Caenorhabditis elegans: one gene and its partner. The protein of the gene in region 1 interacts with the protein of each later gene in a pairwise test. Each region holds a gene or a part of one and is shown in the gene's direction. Other genes may lie near its edges. The genes, in order: cpr-9 and exo-3.

Region 1 (7,136 bases):
TGTTTAACAACCGGATGTAGAGACTCAATTTGAAATACACAATTCTGATGAACCATAATTCCTTCTGCAGTAAACTTAATACATGGACGTTGCAGATCAAATACATCAGTCATTAGTAGCCCTTGAATATTTGGCATTAAATTGAGAAGACCTTGTCCGGCCATTAAGATCTCGAGCTTTTTGTTGAAGGCAATATGAAAAGGGAACATTTGAAGGAATGATTTGGTGTCTACTGGCAGATATTCATTCAGATTCTTTACGCGTTCTTTCAATCTGAAAATCGGAAATTTTAATTTCAAAAATAGAGCCAAAAAAGATTTTGACTCACTTCAAGTCTTGTCCAAGGCCAACATTATCAAATGAAATCTTAAGAACAACAAAAGTAAATCTTCCTTTTTCTTTCTTTTTCAATACTTGAATTCCAATATCCAATTGATAAAATACTCTTGCCAATTCAACAAGTTGTCCAATTACATAAGAAAGATATCCAGTTCTTCTACTCCGATAATGTAGAATTAAACCATCTTCACTTTCAGATTTACAGTAAAATGACGGAGCTCTGAGTTTTGGATAACTGAATCGAAAATATTCATGAATATTATCAAGTCCTTTGATAAAATCCGAAAATCTCCTTCCCATAACATTCATCAAATCTCCATAACCATTTCGAATCAAAAATTGAACGAAAAATCTTCCAGCGAGAACTCCAATTTGTTCATATGGTGTTCCAGTGATTTCATGAATTGCTTTGAACATTTGAGGAACAACGTGTTCCGAATATTGATCATGAGTTGATACTGACTTTTCTGACAGTGATGTCAGCTTTTGAACCTGAAAATATAAAAAAGAATACCTACTATTAGATAGATAAATTTTCTGAAATTTTTCATTACCAGCAAAACATTTTTTTTTGAAACCAGTTGTTGCTATTTACTATATAAAAACTTCCTCATATGAAATTATACATAATTGCCGTATTTTCTCTATTAAAATGGCATGCCATATTGTATTTTGAAACCTAATATTTTTGTTGAATTTTCAAGTTATTTGGCTAATTCAATAGCCAAATCGGTCATTGTGCAACAGATATATTAAGATCCATATATAATTCAAGACTTGCGAAAGAGTTAAATAACAATTTTTTTTTGCAATTTCATAATCATTTGACAGATAAAATATTATAATATACATAGATGCGCAAGGCTAGTCTCTAAACAGTATGAATATTACCAGCTGGCATTTCTTTGTTGCACTCGAATTCATCCGACACAAAGAGTTTCAACACAGTTAAAGGGGAATTTTATTTTCTATCGAAGCGGGTCTCGCCACGAGATTCGTTTTCAATGTGATGACTAATATAGAGAATCTGCCAAATTTTACTATTTTATCACGTCTCGTTTTTTCTTTGAAAATCAAACTCATTTCAACAAACTTGTGAAACGAAAAGTATGTTATTTAAAATTATGATTTTTTAGTTTTGAAGTTTCTTTGATTTAGGCATAATTGTTTTTTAAAATTGTTGCTTCGAAAGACTGGCTAGCCAGCTGTCTCAAAAGTTTGGAAGTTTTATAACAATTTTTTCTGATATTTTTGGTCTTATGAACATGTAAAGATAAATTTTCTTTAAAAGATAATTTTTACGTCGAATTAGAAAAAAAATCGAGAAAAAATCGCAATGTTCTAGAAGTCTTTTCCGGTTAATGACGTCATAAAGTTTAAAGCTTAATATTTGAATGGGCGCCTTTTTTATATTGGCTGCATAGCTACTCACCTACACATCAATATATAATTGATACGGAGTCATTAAAAAGTTAAATGTTTTCAACTTTCATTTGGAATTTGAAAGATCATTCAAGTTGGTATTTAAAAATTAGAAAAAGTCAAACCTGCAGAAGAACTTGGGGTCCCCAGTTTTCCTGTATCATAAACCGAACACCTTCAATGACCAATCCGTACATTTTGCGGGTTGATTTCTGCTAGAAGATGTTTGAAAATGCTGACTAAAATCTGAATAAGGTGTTTCCACTACCAACATCTTCCAACTTCCGTGCCAGTTTCCGTTAGCTGTACACTGTTGCCCCCTATTTTAATAATCTCATCTTCGATTCGTAATATCCATTAGCTCACCTCTCCCCCTTTCCCTTGAAATACAAATGTCTGCGTCTCTCCCCGCTCGTTGCTCTTTAGGTCTCCCACCTTTTCCTCTATGTAAGGCAATGGTCAAGAGACCGCACAACACAGTGGTTCATGTGTGTATCCCTTACCCCTCCACAGAGACACAGCATAGACGGAGAGAGTCTAGGAGACCGAGGAGAGCAGTATACTTGTCAAGGCTAATTCTCATGCGTTAGGGCCGTGCCCCATTGGCGCAGTCGGTTAGCGCGTGGTACTTATAGTCTATAGGTTATGCCAAGGTCGCCAGTTCGAGCCTGGCATGGGGCAGATTATTTTTGTTTTATTTGAGGTGTCTAAAGTAGTTTAAACGACATTTGTAGCCCCTATTTCGTGTTTTGTAGTGAAATGTAGTCTGTTTGATTTGTGGGAGTTGGAATCGATCTTCTACGAACCTGTGATAAGAATAGTGATAACCTAAACATTGACGTACATGCATCTTTATGATAAACATGTCATATGACAAGTTAAGCAGGTCAAAGTTAATAGCTCGATGTATTCTAGTTAGTATAACAGCTAACACACCAGAGCCAAACTAGCAAAATCTGTTTGAATGTTTGTTTTTAAATTAAATATCAAACATTAATTAAAACAAAATTGATAGACTGGTATGTACTTTAATCCAGATCGTCAATGCCATGCAATCTCGCATTATGGTCGCGTGTGACGTCACATTATCTTAAAACACGGATGTTTTTTTCGGGAACCGAAAAAACGAGCTGATAATTGTAAGGAAACTATTTTCAGTTTAAAATTGTACTGCTGGAAAGTTGATATGACCAGGATAGTACGAAAATACACCTATTAAAATGTTCGAAGAATTATTGGAACAGTCTATTACTAGGGATTATATTTAAAGGCATAACACTATGAGAGCACAAAATATAATATTCTTTAATCACCTCTACAACTCGTTAACCCTGCAAATTTTCGCTTTCAAAGTCCAAGTTTAAGCAAATAATTTGAATTCTCCCGCAAACATGCACGTGTCTAATCAGGCCTTTCACTTCGAAATGAAACCGGAGCTAGTAGCGAAATGCCTAATTCTTATCAGCAATATTCGAGAAAACGCCAAACTTCAAAAGTTATCAGTCGCTTGAAACGAAAAAACTATAAAACCCCTGGTAAGCGCTTGATAAATTGGTCGACTGTCGAATTTCCCAATTCTCCAGCCAATCGAAAAATGGTAAGGCTTAATTTTCCTGAAGTTTAACTTCAGTTTCAAAAACTTTTCAATTTCAGAAAACTGCAATTGCTGCTCTTCTTGTCGGCCTTGTCGCCGTCAACGCCTACAATGTTGAGGTTAAGCACGGAGATGCCATTCCAGTTGAAGCTCAAATGCTTCGTGGACAGGAACTTGTTGATTACGTCAACAAGGTTCAGACTTCCTTCAAGGCTGAGCTCGGATCATACTTCAGCTCTTACCCAGATACCATTAAGAAGCAATTGATGGGAGCTAAGATGGTCGAGATCCCAGAAGAGTACAGAGTTAGTAAATTTGAATATTTTAAAGATTTTGAAAAACGCTTCCCAAAAAATACAGATTTCTTTCAAACTAATTTATCCTAATGAAATTGTTTCCAGGTTTTCGAGATGACTCATCCAGAAGTCGAGGATGCTGCTGTTCCAGACTCATTCGATTCCCGTACCGCATGGCCAAACTGCCCATCCATCTCCAAGATCCGTGATCAATCATCCTGTGGATCGTGCTGGGCTGTCTCTGCTGCTGAAACTATTTCTGATCGTATTTGCATTGCGTCAAATGCCAAAACTATCCTTTCCATCTCTGCTGACGATATCAATGCTTGCTGTGGAATGGTCTGTGGAAATGGATGCAATGGTGGATATCCAATTGAAGCCTGGCGTCACTATGTTAAGAAGGGATACGTTACCGGAGGATCTTATCAAGATAAGACTGGATGCAAGCCATACCCATATCCACCATGTGAACATCACGTCAATGGAACTCATTACAAGCCATGCCCATCCAACATGTACCCAACTGACAAATGCGAACGCTCTTGCCAAGCTGGATATGCTCTCACCTACCAACAAGATCTTCACTTCGGACAATCTGCATACGCCGTCTCAAAGAAGGCTGCTGAAATCCAAAAGGAAATCATGACTCATGGTCCAGTTGAGGTTGCATTCACTGTCTACGAAGATTTTGAGCATTACTCCGGAGGAGTCTACGTTCATACCGCTGGAGCCAGTCTTGGAGGACATGCCGTAAAGATGCTCGGATGGGGAGTTGATAATGGAACACCATATTGGCTCTGTGCCAACTCATGGAATGAGGATTGGGGAGAGAACGGATATTTCCGTATCATTCGTGGAGTTAACGAGTGCGGAATTGAGGGAGGAGTCGTCGGAGGAATTCCAAAATTGTAAATCTCGAAACATTGTGTTTGTGATTGCAACTTCAATGCCTATTGTACAATATGTATTCGATTTATAAATATTTGAATTATTCTTATATTTTCTGTTAACATTTGCATACAAACTTGAATTACATATTTTTTTGTCAAGATTAATTCGAATTCTGTTTCTTTTGTTCCAAAATTCAAATTGTTTGAAAAGGGTTATTATAATATAATGCACAGAACTTGTACTCCCAAAAAATTGTATGAAAAATATATGTTCATTGAACAGATAGTAAACGAACAAAACAAAACAAAGTAATGACATAAAAAATAAAAAGGGATAATGAAAATACAGAATATGCAATAAGTAGATACTGCATCATAAGAACAAAATCAGTTGGAAGACTTGTTAAATCAGATACTCCCAATGGCCAATGATTTGTTGATAACATTAAAATCTTTGACATTCGATTATGAGTTTCTGATTTTATCATATCAATATCATTTCCAAAAAGACTTCGATCCATTACTTGACTTATTTCCACTGATTCTATTGCTGCTGAAATAATGTGATTTTTTTAAATTTTAAACTTTTCAAACTAAAACTCACTTTTCATAAAAACTGAATATTTTGGGAATATAAAATTTGGCACAATAATGACAAGCAGCAGAATGGCAACACATTTAGACAATGCCTTTGATGGATTGAGAATAGCTGTCAGACATATAAAACCGACGATCAGAGCAAATATGGGAAATATGACATGAGCGAGCATTTCAATTTTGACGCCATTCATTTGTATGTAATTCCAAAGAAGTACGTTTTTGGAAACATCAGTCACCAGGAGAATACCGGCTAAAAAAATCTGAAAAAATACACTTTTTAGGTATTAATTTATATATTTTTTGTTTTTAAAGGATTAAAGGACGATCCGTTCTTCAAGTGCTATGAACTCTGGGATACAGGTACACTGCCTGGTGGTAGACTCAAAAATGCCACAAAGGCTATGCCTATTTGCGTTCCTTCAATGCTGGCTTCAACATTTCTAAATACAATCTACTCCTATTTTCCCAAGAAAACTCAAACATATATGTACATATCTTTCTTTAATTGTATGTATGTATGTAGGTAACATTCGAAACTAGTTACGTCTGCTTTTTTGTGCCTATGAGAACGCACTCCAAAGTTTTAAACGTTTTAAGCAACATAGCTCATTAAACGTTAAATTCTGGAAAGTACATTTTTAAAAGCGTAGATGAAGCTCAAGACTACATGTATTTTTATTGTAAATCTACATCACATAATGTCTAGATCAGTCTAAATTTCTTCTGAGATAAGGTTTTTTCCATGTGATGTTGCATATATAAAAACTGGATTAAAAGATTTTCAAGAGAGCACACTAGGAAGTAATGAACACGTCTTGAAACTTACTTGAGCATAAGAGAGTACACGAATATAATAAATAGAAGAATCAAAAACTCGAATTTTGCGTTCATAGTCCCTGATCGCAAAATTGCTATTTGTCTTGGTTAAATAATCTCGATAGTAGTCGGTGTAGTCATCTTCCAAATACGGGCGATTCAACGCGAACGGACTTCTGAAAACAATGAAAAGATGTCCTCGAGGATAATTTTGGTGTCAACTACTCGTTTGTTTTGTTTGAGTTTTGCGCGGTAAATTGTAAATTCTTTAGTAAGTTATGCCCTGTAGGGGAAAATGTGGGGTGGCCTTGAATATTGAAATTAGGGTTGACGTCTTGGGAACAGATTAGCGCTTTGGCGGAATAAATGAACAAAGTTGAAATATTGGCATACGGTATTAATTTAGGTTGTGAAGATAAGTATCTAGTTAGAATTAAGTTGAAGAAATTTAGAAAAAAAAATTTATACATACGACATATTGTGTTTTTTTTTTTTAATTCACTTCTACAACTTTAAGATAAGAGCTCATTTATGCGAAATGATCTGGAAATGGAAAAAAATTCACAGTATTTCTGTTGTATAATAAATTTTTAAGAAATCCTCATCTACTGCAAAACATTAATAAATGTATCTTTAAAAATAATTCCAAGTCTACAAAAGACCACCATTTTTCAATTCAATTACCTGTAGGGATATGCAGTCGAGTAATAAATTTGCCTGTTCGGATAAAAACCATTATAAAGTTCCTCTTCCATTTACAGACTGCATCAATGCTGACCAATTAGAAGCACTGATCTCTGTCACACTGTTGGAAGTTTCTGAAGAAAAGTGATTCAAGAATGGTACAAATGGAAAAAGATCTTTGTGGGACAACACGCAATAAAGCATTTATGACTCTACTGTCAAGAAATTTGGAATTGGGTCGGAAGTGAAATGAAATCAAATAGAGAGACGTTAGATGAAAAGGTTCGAGAACAAACTATTAAATAAACGACTGGATTAAGGTGATGATTTATTACATCATCTCAAAATAACAAATATGATTAAACACGATGACCTAAAAACTTAATAATATTGGTTTAATTTTATTTTGGAATACTTGCAAAACTGCAGTCATTTCGAGGTAGCATCTTGACCGACTTTTTATGGTTTGGCATTTTTCAAAGATTAAGAGAATTC
Region 2 (7,525 bases), on another chromosome or scaffold:
GGAAATTCTGTACAAAAACGAGCACATCTCGTTTACGACCGGCAAAATCGGAGCTCTAGCCGATGTGAACAACTCGAAAGATCCGGATGGTCTCCGCTCGTTCTACTATCTCGTTCAGGATCTCAAGTGCCTCGTCTTCTCGCTCATTGGCCTTCACTTCAAGATCAAGCCAATCTAATTTAATTCCTTCAGACTCTGTTCTATTTTATCCACCAAATCTCTTTAACTTGTTTAATTTATTCGATTTTCTCTTCTCTTCTTAAGTTCTCAAATTTCTCAAGAATAAATTTTATTTCTTTCAAAAAGTACAGTTAGAAAAAGTCTGAGAGGTGGGGGAAAAGTTAGAATCAAAATCAATTTCATAGGGGGGGTCAATTCACAGGCCATTTGTAATCCGATCCGTTGGTCCTTAGCAATATCTAGAAATGTATTCCCGAACACGATGATTGAACGATTCGCGATTCTGACTCCACATCTGGGCGGCTTGAATGTTCAGCGCGTCGTTGAAGTCCATAAGATCGTTGAACAGTGAGACGAGTCCGTGGACGACGTCGGTGAGGTTACGCGTTGGACGCCATCCGTATTGATCCAACGAGTTTTGACGCAAAATCGATAGACAAATCGATCCGTCCTCGTTGATATTTGGATGCCAAACCTTTGTCAGGCACTTAACAACGGGCGGCACGTTGTTGTACTCTGGCGGGACGGTGATCTTGAATCGGAATTTGCCTCCACGATAGATTCCTTCTTGAGGTGTCACGGTGAGTTCCAACTCATGAAGACACGATGTTGATGGGACCTCGAGATGCCACAGCTTTTGCTTCTGATCGCGAAGAGCAGTCTCCAGCTGTTGGAGTTCTGAAAATGTTGTAAAATCAAAATTTTTTATAAAGCAGCCACATACCCTGAGCTAGGAGCTTGTCACGGACGGCGATGCGGGTTTCAAGATACCGACCGTCCTCGTTGTTGCCGTTGATTCGTTTTTGAAGATTGAACATTCTGAAAGCGAAAAATTAAGAAATACGATAATTTTCAGCGATATAGGCGGCGCATACGGAAACATAGAGAAAATAATCGTTTTTTTGGCAAAATTACAGTGTAAAAGGGTCAAAAATCGATGAAAATCTTGTAATTCAGCGAAAAAACGACAAATTACGTGAGAAAATGAAACAATTGCTATGAAAAATGACAGAGAATGAGGAATAAAAGACGCAGCGTTTGCTAACGCTGAAATGACTAAAGGGGGCGGAGCGCGAACGCAAGGCTGGCACACTTTTACCGCAAGTGCCGCACGGTTTCCCACGAGTCGGAGGAGGCAAGCGAAAACGATTCGAATCACACATATTTACGCTCCGGCCTAAAATCGTCATGTCTGGATTCTCTGTTTACGGTTAGTTTTGTTAATTGTAAATTATTCAAGTAGAAAACTGGAATATTCAGCTTTAAAAGCAGATTTTAATCGAGAAAAGCCGAATTTAAAGTCTGGCCTAAAATTTTTATTTTTCTCCAGGCGTTTTTCTATTTATTGTATTTGATTAGGCTGAGATAATTTGAGTTTTTAATAATTTTAATGCATTTTTCAGTCGGAAACGCTCCATTCCAAACTACCGAGGACGACCTTGGCAACTACTTCAGCCAGGCTGGAAACGTCAGCAACGTCAGGTAAGCTTCTCTCCCCGAAATCTCCTCTTCCCGAAACCTCCTGAACGACGACCCGTTAACTCTCAATATGAATCTCTATTTTCAGAATCGTTTGCGACCGCGAGACCGGACGTCCACGTGGATTCGCCTTCGTCGAGTTCACCGAGGAGGCCGCTGCCCAGAGAGCCGTCGACCAATTCAACGGAGTCGATTTCAACGGAAGAGCTCTACGCGTCAACTTGGCTCAAAACAGAAACAACTAATTTTCATATCGGTACTTTGTTACTTGTTTGATCTTTAATGATCTCAATAATAATAAACCCATGAAATCGTTATCATAAATATATATGCTCTATTTTTTTATTTCGAATCTTCATTTGGGGTCAATCTGATGGCAAGCGTTGAGGCTAGAAGCTTGAAGGAACGGCTTCGGTTCGAGCAAGTTTTGAATCCTGGGCTATGCGCAGCCCAATGTGAGCTTACAACTGAAAATTCAAGTTTCAACACTCTTCGCGGTCTTATTTTGGACTAATTCCTCATATTTTCAGCTTGAAATGGAAAAAATCTGTCGAAATCGATGCTATTCGAGGGGCGGGGCCAAAACGCAACCCTGGCACGGTTTTTACGCAACTGCCGCACGTTTTCTCCAAGGCAGGGTGAGCGGAAAAATTAAACCGTCATAAATTTTCTGCTACGGCCTAAAATCGTCATGTCTGGAATCTTCTCTGTTTACGGTTAGTTTTTTAATAATTTATTTTAAGTATTAAACAATCGGAAACTGGTTAAAATAGCCAATAAAACTCGATATTGTCCTGAAATTTTGGGATTTTTCGGAAAAATCGAATTCGCGAAGTTTTCCCTAATATTTTCATTTGAAAAGGCAATTTTAAGTGTTTAGATTCAAATTTGGTTGCGAAATATTTAAATCAATTAAAATTTTCCTTTTTTTTAGTTGGAAACGCTCCATTCCAGACCACCGAGGAGGAGCTTGGAAACTTCTTCAGCAGCATCGGACAAATCAACAACGTCAGGTAACTCTCCCAGCCAGCCCGAGCTTCATGATTTCTAACGCAATATCTCTTTCAGAATCGTCTGTGATCGCGAAACCGGACGTCCACGTGGATTCGCCTTCATCGAGTTCGCCGAGGAAGGATCCGCACAGAGAGCCGTCGAGCAGATGAATGGAGCCGAGTTCAATGGAAGACCACTCCGCGTCAACCTCGCCAACAAATAAGTTGATCTTCATATCGGGTTTTTGTTACTTTTTTGCTCTTCACTGATCTCATTATTAATAACAATCCAATGAAACTATCGATTTAATTATTTAATTCAATTTCAACTATTCTCTAACTAATCTGTTCAACATTCGGGGAAGTTTCTCTATTTGTCATCCTTCCATCCGCCGACCTGATTCAACTTTCTTCTTCCCCAGCTGCTCCGTTCAAGAGCCTACTCGACTACTAACCTGTTGCTGAAAATGTCGAAGCGAAAAGCAGAAGAAGCACCAGCACCAAAGCTCGCCTCGATCTTCACAAAGAAGGTGAAGCCGGCAGAAGAGGACAATAATCAGAAAAGCTGGAAGTTTGTGTGCTGGAACGTGGCAGGGCTCAGAGCTTGTGTGAAGAAAAGTGATTTTAAGGAAGTGCTCGCCGAGGAGCCTGACCTCGTTTTTCTAGGAGAGACCAAGTGTAAGGAGTGGCCCCCGGAGATGGAGGAGACGTTTAAGGTAAGGAATTCCTGGAAGAAAAGAGATTTTTCGCATATTTTACGGCCGGGTTTCATCAAAAATATGTTTATTAACACATTTTAAACGAAAAAACGTAGAAATTTCCATTAAATCCAAGCGGAAATTCACTATTTTTCCTGAAATCTACAAAGAAAATCGCAATTCAAAAGAAATTTGCATAAAAATAACATTTAAAAGTCAAAATTCTACCAGATTTCCATTTAAATAGGGATATTATGTGCTTTTTAAAAATATTTTGAATGAAATTTTAGCAGAAAAATGCGAGAAAATGGCTGAAAAAGCGATTTTCAAAGCTAATTTTTTTCCAGAACTACACCAAAACCCTCGTCGTCTCCACAGAGAAGAACGGTGGCTACGCAGGAGTCGGGCTGCTCAGCAAATGTGCTCCGATGAAGGTTCACAAAGGAATCGGTGACCCAGAATTCGACACTGCCGGACGTCTGATCATCGCCGAGTTCTCCAAGTTTTACTTTATCGGAGCTTACGTTCCAAATTCGGGCGCGAAGCTGGTGAATTTGGAGAAACGAGGACGCTGGGAGAAGCTGCTGACCGAGAAGATGAAGGAGATGGACGAGAAGAAGCCAGTGATCTACGGGGGTGATTTGAATGTTGCACATAATGAAATTGATCTGAAAGTAAATATATTGTATTAAATTTGTTTTAAAAATTATAAATTAACTCCCTGATCCTTTCAGAATCCAGAATCAAATCGAAATAAAACCGCGGGATTCACAGATCAAGAACGTGGATGGTTCAGTGAGATGCTCGAGTTGGGATTCACCGACACCTTCAGAGCCATGCATCCCGACGAGAAGAAGTACTCATTTTGGAGTTATCTGGCGAATTCTCGGCAGAAAGATGTTGGATGGAGATTGGATTATTATGTTGTCAGCAATCGAATTATGAATAAGGTCTCGTCTGGAAGCTGTGGAAAATTGAAAAAATGGGCAAAAAATGCAATATGTCTGGGATTTTTTCCCGTAAAATCCCGGTGGATACCGAAATTTTGATGGAATTTGCCATAAAAATTTGATTTTCCAAAAAAATTTAGACAAAATCCACCGGGGAATTGAAATTTTTCAGAAGATTTCCATGAAATCCACTTAAAAATTTAGAATTTTACTGAAATTTCGACGTAATCCAAGTGGAAATTCAATTTTTCCACTGGAATTTTGATAAAATCCAAATTAAAATTCAATTTTAATGTTCTTTTTTCAGGTCAAACGCAGTGATATCATGAGCTCGGTGATGGGAAGCGACCATGCTCCGGTCGTCATGCAAATCGACTTCTAAATTGCTTCTGATTATTTTATTTTGTGAATATTGCTTTAAAACTTGTATTTTTGATGAATCTCGACTAATTTTTAAATTTAGAAAGTCTGAAAAAAAAAAACAAATTCATCAACAAGTAACAATGTTTAACAGAATTTCAAAAAATGGAAACAACACGAGATCACTGTTCTTTTTTAATTTCCAAATAGCCAAAGGTGAGCCTAATTTTGAAGCGTGACGTCTCGGTTTCATAGACGAACGGAGCATGTTCTTCGTCTGATTGCTCATGATTGAAAAGCATCGCGAGTTGAGAAGCCTTAATTGTAGAGCATCTGATGATTGCGGATTGAAAGTGATCGGATTTCATGTGAATCTGGAAAAAAAAATCAGATTTATTGAAAATAATCAATTTTCTAAAGTATATCTCTAATCTTGATGGCGTCATCAACCGTGAATTCTTCCATTTTAACCTCAAAACCCGACAAATGGAAGAGATTTTCAATTGGGAAAGTAAAACGGTGATCCCAGACTCGAAGTTTCTTAATCTTCTTCCACTGCTCCAGCTCAAAAAGAGCCAAGTACATATCCATTGTTTCATCAACATAATCATCATAAATACTGTTCCACGTCCTTCTTATTGGAGAGCTCATCAATGCCAATTTCTTCGAGATCTCCCGGTTTAAAATGGGAAACGACTTGGGTAATATCTTGCAGGTCCAGCATGTCAATCGTGAATTTTTTAGCACTAATTTCCGCCTCCGAAGCTTTGAAAGTCTCCTTGAAATTCTCATAGCAGTTAGCAACTTCAAATCTTTCAGTGAATTCATCATTGACCTCCACTTTGAACTCTTCCAGCTTAAGATTCGGATTTTTCAATAGAATCGCCACGTCGTCCAATGGTTTCTTCATATATTCCTTATTGCGAATTTTTTTATTCTTCCGACACGTATACGATCGATAATCTTCGTCATCGTCATCATGGTACAACTCCAATCGATCGTAGCCCATGCTCATCGAGATTTTTTTGATGCCAGAATTGCGATTGTCGATGATAGATCTCAAGTTTCGAGACACATTACGAATAGGAAATCTGAAAATTTGGGTATTAACTATTTTTAAAAATTAAGTAAGCATTGAAGACTGACGTTTCAAATGGTTTCATATCATCCAGAACTTTATGAACAATTTGGATAGGCATATCGGGCAGGCTGCGACTTTTTGGATCATAGCTGAAAGTTATTTTATTTTGTTTAAGGCGCTCTCGCTAGCTTCCCTCATATTTTGAAATGTAAGAGTTTGCCGAACTAGGCCATTTTGACTCGGTCATGCCTGGGGTAGATTTACGGCGCGTTGCGTGTCGCGTCGCGGCTCGGTTAATTACCTCATTTCACAGTCTAAATCAGCATCTCCATTTCCGATTTGATAGTACCAAAAGTCGAATTCGCGATATTCCATCAAACCGTATCCGAGAACATTACAAAACGAGTGATATGCACTATAGACAGACTCTTTCTGAAGATACAGGAACAGAATACATGAGCGAATGGCAATTTTGTTGTTTCGCAGAAGATTCTTCTTTTCTATTATTTTTCTGGAAAATGCATATTATTTAGAGTTTAAACTAAAGAAGCAACAAACTCGTAACACAAATCCATCGATTCGTCGAATTCAGAACAAGAGCAGGAATCGGACTCTGACATTGTACTCATTGGGGGAGTCGAGTTTGTGGATTTGTGCTTAAAGGTAGAGTGAGGCCAGTGGGGAAATTGCTTTAAAACATGCCTTTAAAAAATTCAAAAAATTTTTTTCTAGATTTTATATGATTTTTTGAAAATTGGAAAAATTTTAATTTCCCCCTAATTCCTATAGGTTCCTATTTGAATTTCCGCCAATTGGATTCGCTCGGTGGAGCGCGCATTTAAAAAACACAGAAAATGAAGAAAATCAGTGGAATAATAGAAATAAATAGGAAAATAATGAAAATCATGCAAGCGCGCTCCAACGAACGAGTTCAATTGGCGGAAATTTAAATAGGAATTAGGGGAAAACTGCGATTTTTCCAATTTTCAAAAAATCATAAAAATTTAGAAATTTTTTTTGAATTTTTTATCATGATATTCGATCATTGTGGTACCATAGGCATGTTTTAAAGCAATTTGGCCAATTTTGAGCGTTTTTTCAAATGTTTCAGCTGAAATTATTGTTATTTTCAGATAAAACAACTAAATTTCAATGAAATATGTTGAAAAAACATGGCAAAATAGGTATAATTCTGTAGAATTTTCATGCTTATTTTAATTTTAAGTTCACTCAAATTAGGCCGAAAAACGAGCTAAAATTTGCTAAAGAACAGTCGGAACGCCGTGTTTTTTTTTTCGAAAAATAACAAGTTTCGAAAGTACCACTGTGGGAAATATGAATGAACTCAAATATAATAAGAAGAAATATCAAAAAAAAAATCGAACTAACAATTTTATTGTTTAAACTTTAAACAAAAACTTAACAAAGGCCGGACATTAATTATTGTTTTCTTTTTTAATCTCAAACGAGTCATATCCAAAATTGATTTTGAAGCGAGATCCCATTGTTTTATAGATGATTGAGCCACTTTGTTGTGCAACGTTTCGGTTGAAAATCTTCACAAATTGGTAGGGCTTTTTGATGTGGCTTCTGACGATTCCGGATTGAAAAGAAGGGGAATTCTGGACGATCTGAAAAAAAAAACAGAATATATAACGAAAATCCCCGGTGTTTTAGCATACATCTCTGATCTTCTCTGCATCTTGAATCGTGAATTTCTTCAAACGAATCTCGAAATGCGAAAAATGCGACAACGTCTCAATTGGAAAATGAATCGAATCATCC

What was found.
Region 2: the proteins of cpr-9 (region 1) and exo-3 interact in a two-hybrid assay, tested with the Caenorhabditis elegans proteins (2 studies listed by BioGRID).

The regions. Positions count from the first base shown.
Region 1 is NC_003283.11:11,999,819-12,006,954, forward strand, and holds cpr-9 (Peptidase C1A papain C-terminal domain-containing protein), read left to right. Parts: upstream 1-3,234; 5' UTR 3,235-3,355; coding exon 3,356-3,358; intron 3,359-3,414; coding exon 3,415-3,660; intron 3,661-3,756; coding exon 3,757-4,563; 3' UTR 4,564-4,766; downstream 4,767-7,136. Other genes in the region: gcy-33 (guanylate cyclase), read right to left, coding at 1-273, 329-831, 1,887-1,958; F57F5.3 (ABC transmembrane type-1 domain-containing protein), read right to left, coding at 4,814-5,094, 5,146-5,401, 5,968-6,133, 6,642-6,712.
Region 2 is NC_003279.8:11,904,800-11,912,324, reverse strand, and holds exo-3 (exodeoxyribonuclease III), read left to right. Parts: upstream 1-3,073; 5' UTR 3,074-3,118; coding exon 3,119-3,367; intron 3,368-3,696; coding exon 3,697-4,023; intron 4,024-4,083; coding exon 4,084-4,299; intron 4,300-4,606; coding exon 4,607-4,681; 3' UTR 4,682-4,754; downstream 4,755-7,525. Other genes in the region: mag-1 (Protein mago nashi homolog), read left to right, coding at 1-178; NEDD8-conjugating enzyme ubc-12, read right to left, coding at 410-858, 905-998; rbm-3.2 (RRM domain-containing protein), read left to right, coding at 1,369-1,390, 1,584-1,662, 1,748-1,904; rbm-3.1 (RRM domain-containing protein), read left to right, coding at 2,351-2,375, 2,594-2,672, 2,728-2,875.